Linked DNA regions of Bombyx mori. The protein of the gene in region 2 interacts with the protein of the main gene of each other region in a pairwise test. Links are inferred from orthologs where the notes say so. Each region holds a gene or a part of one and is shown on either strand. Other genes may lie near its edges.

Region 1 (3,666 bases), on a different chromosome or scaffold from region 2:
GGTTTGCTGAGTTTCAACGTGGACGTGTCAAGCTCAGTGATGATCCCCGTCAAGGTCGTCCAAAAACTACAGTCACCCAAGAAAACGTTGATGCTGTGCGTAAGCTGATTGAGGAAGATCGACATGTGACATACCGCGAAATTCAGGCAACTTTAGACATTGGCATGAGTCAAATACAAATAATCTTGCATGAACAATTACTTAGGTGTAAAAAAGTTGTTTTCCCGATGGATACCGCATTCGCTCTGTGAAGAGCAAAAAGCGGCTCGCGTTACTTGGTGCGTCAGAACTCTCGAAAGATTCCACGCAGGATCCTCAAATGCTGTATACAACATTGTATCAGGTGACGAATCCTGAATATACGCGTACGAACCCGAAACAAAAAACCAGTCACGAGTTTGGGTGTTCGAAAATGAGTTAAAGCCAACAAAAATTGTTCGTTCACGGAGTGTTGCAAAAAAATGGTGGCCACGTTTGTTTCCAAAACCAGCCATGTTACGACTGACTATTCCTCTTGAGGGACAAAGAACGGTTAATGCAGAATGGTATGCTAGCATTTGTTTGCCACAGGTCGTTTCTGAACTCCGTAAAGAGAACTGCAACCGCCGCATCATCCTCCATCACGACAATGCGAGTTCTCACACCGCGCACAGAACAAAAGAGTTTTTAGAGCAAGAAAACATAGAATTATTAGACCATCCGCCGTATAGCCCCGACCTAGGCCCTAAAGATTTCTATACTTTCCCTAAAATAAAGAATAAATTGCGTGGACACAGATTTTCATCACCTGAAGAAGCTGTGGACGCCTACAAAACGGCCATTTTGGAGACCCCAACTTCCGAATGGAATGGTTGCTTCAATGATTGGTTCCATCGTATGGAAAAATGTGTCAAATTTCGCGGAGAATACTTCGAAAAGCAATAAATACATTTTTAAATAGTAATGTTTTGTCACTTCAACTGTGTCACTGAAATTTTCAGTGCCGCCCTTGTAAGTACTGAATTTCGATGTGCCAATTATTTCGGTATAATTTCGATATTACCAAAGAACAAGATAAGAGACAACCACGAAAATGATAAGCGATGATCGAAATATTTTATATATATAAAACATATCACGAGCTATTGTATAAACCGATTTTTTTTTTGTCCGGACGTTATGAGGAGACCACAATCTATCTGTTAATTATCACTATTAATTACATTTTAGTATGTCTGTCGTTTTTGTTTCTCGCGTTCTGATTTAGAAATTTCATTATTTTCTTCTAATCACAGCGATTAGTAAACGAGCACTTGATTCACCTGATGGTGAGTGGTTACCTTCGCTCATGAAAAGCAGCAATGAAAAGGGCACAGTTAAGCTAGCGCTTACCGCTGAGAAACCTTGTTTGAAAGAAAACATGTTGTCAACCCCAGGAAATACCGTAGGAGCGGAGTTCAGTCAAAAGCTCGAAAGCACATAACCAAAAAATATGTCTGGTCACGCACTGTGTTCTAGGGTGTTTGGCGGCGTGTACCTTACTTACATACAAATACGTATATATGAATAGCAGTACTCGCCCGCTTCGCTGGGCATTTAAAATTAACATTATCATTTAATTTTATTGTCATTATTATTAGGGAGTCCAACACTCATATAAATATTAGCCTATCCATTAAGTAAATGTATTTTCTACATTGATACCAAGTTTCAAATCAATCGGATGCATGGTTCAGTAGTTATAACGGAACATCCGTAAAAACCACTGTAGATTTATATATTAGTATAGATATATCGTATAAAAAAATCTTACGTGAACATACCTGCATGACAGTGACCGCTCCGTATGTAATGGCAATCCAATATATGGAGCCAAGTAGCACTCCACCAGCAATAAATGGACATATCTTGTGGGTGATCTCTTCCATAGCATCGAGCATGGCTACGAAGGCACCCATGGACGGAAACACGACAATGTATTCCGCTTTACACTGAGGGCAGAGAACCTTGCGTGTGATGTTGCCCCGCTGCTTCTCATCGACCCATCTTTGGAGACATGACTGATGAACCTACAAAAAAAAATAACAAGTTAACAGATTTTGTGGACAAATGAAAACTTCCAATCATTGAAAAAAATGTAAAATTTTAATTACGTCATAGGCCAAACAAAAGAAAACCAATTTCTATCTCGTATTAACAAGTTCTAAAGAACTGGTCAATTATTAGATGATTTTTAACCATATTATGCTTATATACAGATTAGTGCTATCACCTGAAAAATGCTGTCATATTTTTTTTTATTGATTCTAATCTATCCTATAGACATCAGCAACGCAAATGCCGCCGTCCAACTTGAGACACGAATTCTTAGAAGTCCGATGCATTCGTGTTGAGCGATGCAACGGTATTCGAATCTCAGGCGGGTACCAATTTTTCTAATGAAATACGTACTCGACTAATGTTCACGATTGACTTCCACGGTGAAGGAACAACATCGTGTAATAAAAATAAAACCCGCAAAACTATAATTTGCGTAATTACTGGTGCTAGGACCTCTTGTGAGTCCGCGCGGGTCGGTACCACCACCCTGCCTATTTCTGCCGTGAAGCAGTAATGCGTTTCGGTTTGAAGGGTGGGGCAGCCGTTGTAACTATACTTGAGACGTTAGAACTTGTATCTCAAGGTGGGTGGCGCATTTACGTTGTGAATGTTTATGGGCTCCAGTTACCACTTAACACCAGGTGTGCTGTGAGCTCGTCCACTTATCTAAGCAATAAAAAAATAAAAATCTTCTAGCTGTCAGTTTTACAGTACAGCGCATTACTGCTTCACGGCGGTGGTACTTACTCGTGTGGTCTTATGAAACGTACCACCAGTAATGACACAAATTATAATTTTTACGGGAATCATTCAACATAGAAGTCATTCGTGAATTCATTAAGTACGTATTTTATTTGAAAAATTGGCAACCGCCTGCGGGATTCGAACACCGGTACAGTGGCATCGCTCGATACAATATGCACTGGAAGTCTTTCCTCTGAGGCCACAACTTAGACAATAATAAAACAATTCACTGTTAATAAAAAACAAGTCTTGTAAGATTATATCTAATTGTTATTTTATAAAATAGATGCTGTTTTAGCATTCTGTGGGCAAATGGCAAAAAACAGGGTTTTATTAATTTAGTTATATCGCCTGACTACCGTTTTGATGACCCCTTTACGAAAGACGAGTCTTTTTTCATGTGAACATAAACTACGCCTGTGATGATCAGAGTAGTGTATCTTTTTTTTTTTTTTTTTTTTTTATTGCCCTTGTAGGCAGACGAGCATACGGCCCACCTGATGGTGAGTGGTTACCGTCGCCCATGGACTTCAGCAATGCCAGGGGCAGAGCCAAGCCGCTGCCTACCGCTTAATACTCTCCACAAGCCTCGTTTGAAGAAGGACATGTCATAGCGCTCGGGAAACACCATGGAGGGGAGCTCATTCCATAGCCGGATGGTACGTGGCAAAAAAGACCTCTGGAAACGCACTGTGGATGACCGCAGTGGCTCCAGGTAGTATGGATGAACTCTACTCCGGTGGCGGGCGGTGCGATGGTAAAAACGAGATGCCGGTATCATCTCGAACAATTCCTCAGAGCACTCCCCATGGAACATACGGTACAAAATATAGAGGGAACCGA
Region 2 (3,666 bases):
ATTATGTAATTTTTCAGGAGAAGAATTTGAAAAATCAACATTTTATTACTGTTATATAAGTTCTTCTCTACTAAAGATTTTTTTTTTTATTGCGTAAGTTGGGGAAGAGCTTCAGGGGGAAGAGTATCAGTAAAAGCAAACGTCTCACTAATAACTATAAAAAAAATTGATTTTCTCAGGCAAGAATCGCATAAGTGACATTATAGCTCTGTATGTGCGATATGATCGCGTTTGTGACGGACATTTTGATCCTTGTTGAGGACAATAAGTCCGTCGTTCGACGCGCCCCGTCCCGGACTCGTTCGCGCACCGTACATCCTCATTATTATAACACTTATCACATACTGAGATTTAATCATCCATGTTCGATAGAATGAACCGCATGGCTTGCTACACCGAATCATCTGGAATAATTGAGAGAGCGGTCAATGATGGCTTCGCTGCGTCAGATCTCGGCGCTACTTGTCGAGGTGAGCGGTATCTAATATTCATTGTATTTTCATAGATACCGTTCGTATCGTCTTATCGAAGCGCAAAAAGTACAGAATAAATTCATTATATTAAATTTATGCAATTTTAATGACTCCTTAGTTTTTTTGATTTTACTTTTTGTCGAAACGCAATAAAAAAAAACAACATTTGAATTTAGTATTGTCATTCTCGTATTTTCGCGCCCATCTTTATTAAATATACTTTTGAATTTATAATTTAGTGGGTAATTGTGGTGGGTGAAAAAAGCGGAATAATTTTGATAGTATTACATAAAGTAGATATGGGGTTAAATGTCTCCGTTCGATTGCTACTTTTTTTTAATGTATAATATGAGTTATGCACGGGTTTTAAGCTCTTATTAATTTTATTTATATTCATGTTTTTTTTGTTCTACCCACGAAATATGTTTTAAAACCATTTCAAATTTTCACATCACGATCACTCATTAATATCGGTGTGGTGAAATTCGATGCTGGTATCTGGATATCTCTAATGTAAATGACTTCAAGTCTTAAGATAAAGACGGTTTGATGTTGCAATATATGATACGAATGGACAATGAAAAATAAAATCTTGCTTCACTCACCATGATACCACCATTTTGTTTTCTTAGGATTTTTATTACAGGTTTTAACGTAGAACGAATTATCAGGCGGTCGTCTCTGGAATGTTAAAATTGGATTTTATATATTTAATGACTAAAAATTACTTCTGTTATGAAGCGAATCGATGGGTTCCGGGTTCAAGAGTGGTACAGCTGTCACACAATATAAATCGCACCTTTAAAATTATAGAGACCCAACTCAAAATATGTATTTTTTGGAAAACATCGAATAAAGTTTTCAAACCGAAAAGACGTAGAGGAGGGGAACGTAGTGAAAGAGACCGATAGATAAGCGTGTCCCTTTATAAGCTACTTTTGGTAATTTGATTATTAACAGTCGCTGAAAAAGGTCGTTCTAGATCAATTTTTGAATTAAAGTCGATATCCAGAAATTTCGAAATAGGTCTCTATAATTCTAAAGTTCCAATGGTCTAAATCTAAATGTTGCTTCCACGCCGTGTCTCATAGTGGTTCTCCGCACTCAGGTTGTGATGTCTGTAACCACTTAACACCAATAAGATCAGCTGTCGTCGAGTGCAATAATTAGCGAAAGGATTTCTTTTAATTGCACAGACGGTTGAATGAACTCCAAGCTATCCCGGAGTTATGTGTTTACTGGAATTTCCTATTGAAATTACAAGGTGAATTGTAGTCTCAATTGTAGATATTAACGACTGTACCACTCTTTTCAAGACGACACAACGAAAACAAAATATTCATCATTTGCATAGCTTTTTATAACAGGGAAAGCTGAAAAGTGACGTATAATTATTAATGCACTTAGGTCCATAATATCAATCATGATTTATGCGAAATATTTGGCCATTTTGAAAAGAACCGTTTAAACCCAACGCACGGTTTAAGCTTTGAGATAATTTAAGCTACGGAGGTGAGTTTAACACTGATTTAAATTACGAGTTGATCTTCAGTGATCGTTTAAAACTTCGATATTAGTTTAAACTACGATTGATATTATGGGCCATAGTCGAGGACGTCATTATGCGAATGACAGTGGACTAATTTTAATAGTGTTCCGAATTATAAATGTTAAAGTTTTTGGAGAAGATGTCCCGATTATTTTCGCATCAAACGAGTGTTCGAGTTTAGAATTCGCATTGAACAGACGTAGTAGTGTTTATTCTTTTTTCTTAAGTTTTTTTTACTGGGCAAATGCATTAAAATAACTCGCTTCTTAAAGGACATGGGCCACTCTCCATACTTTGCACGGCCCACTAAACGAAGTTCAAGGACAGCGTAGTTTTTTTTTTGTTAAAGATCAATAATTGTTCATCAATGTAATTTTTAATGATTTATTCACGGATTTAAAAGTATAAAAATAGATTTTTGTTTAGATATAATATTTTATATTAATTTTAAAATCTATTAATTAAATATGTTAATATATTTTGCTAGTTTTTTGCATTATAATGTTTTTTTAAGAATATTTAATGTGAATTGTTTAAAATATAAATAATATATTTTACCCATGGCAACTCCTTCAATATTATCAATGTAGATTAGTCATGCTGATTTCTTTTTATTTATGATTTTAATTAACCCACCATTAAAATGCCCTTAAATTTTATAATAAGTATGTAAAAATGAAATGTTTTTTTCTATAGATATTTCACTAATGTCCTTGAGAGCACGAGTAGCTGGGTCGAAAATGGCCCATGTCCTATATACTACTTTCTTATTCAGAGTTATTTTACTGGATAAACATCTAGATGCATTAAAATAACTCGCTTCTTAAGTTTACACTATCTTCTTATTCAGAGATTGCGTCAAGGTCCGTTATTAAAATAGATCATAATACCTTTTCCTTACAGCTACTGAGCATCGACACGATCGAGAGGCAGACTGATTGCACCGACAGCGCCGGCGACCAGTCGTCGGTGAGGATCGAAAGGCAGATGTGCCCGTTCGAGTACACGTGCGGGTGAACGGGAATGTTGTTGCCTATGAACGTTACCTGTACATACGCAAAATTTCGTTTTCAATTATGCGACATCGATTATTTTTTCTACTAATTTGGAAGTTTTTTTTTAGAATATTTTTTTGGCAACACCAGCTGACCTGTCCCAATTTCAATTTAGTGATTTCTGTTGAATCTATTAAGAGCGTTCAAAAATCAAATTGAAAATTTTGTAAGCCTTTGGAAAAAATATTTATTTGCTTATACTTTCATTTTTTTATTCGGACTATAGCCTGCAGTTGTTGCATTTCTCTATAATTAACGGACGTAGTAGCTTATAAGGCCACGGACGCTTAAGATAAATATAAACACCGTTCCTTATTTAGCAAGAAACAATAGCCACGCCCCTGTTGTCATATATTTAATCGAAACGATGTGAAAATATTTTATTATCATTATGATTCATAATCTTGTTTTATCTTGAAATAGATTAAAAAAAAACGATTAACATATTAAATGAATCTCTAATAAATACAATGGCGCTTCTATGATAATATATTTTTAATCACTATCTATGACCATCTATTTTGGGGGGAAAATTAAATATAATTTAATTCTATCGCCTCTGAATTTCGTTCAGCAGTGCCTGTTCTAA

The links. The genes of interacting proteins can lie anywhere in the genome.
Region 1: the proteins of ubiquitin-conjugating enzyme E2 W (region 2) and E3 ubiquitin-protein ligase MARCHF5 interact in binary tests that used the Homo sapiens proteins (3 or more experiments, as listed by UniProt). The link is inferred for Bombyx mori from reciprocal best matches to the Homo sapiens genes UBE2W and MARCHF5.

Annotation. Positions count from the first base shown.
Region 1 is NC_085132.1:5,326,176-5,329,841, forward strand, and holds part of E3 ubiquitin-protein ligase MARCHF5, read right to left. Parts: intron 2,049-3,666; coding exon 1,803-2,048; intron 1-1,802. UniProt on the Homo sapiens protein: Mitochondrial E3 ubiquitin-protein ligase that plays a crucial role in the control of mitochondrial morphology by acting as a positive regulator of mitochondrial fission and as an important regulator of immune response.
Region 2 is NC_085117.1:6,909,202-6,912,867, forward strand, and holds part of ubiquitin-conjugating enzyme E2 W, read right to left. Parts: intron 3,069-3,666; coding exon 2,913-3,068; intron 1,155-2,912; coding exon 1,079-1,154; intron 405-1,078; coding exon 391-404; 3' UTR 1-390. UniProt on the Homo sapiens protein: Accepts ubiquitin from the E1 complex and catalyzes its covalent attachment to other proteins.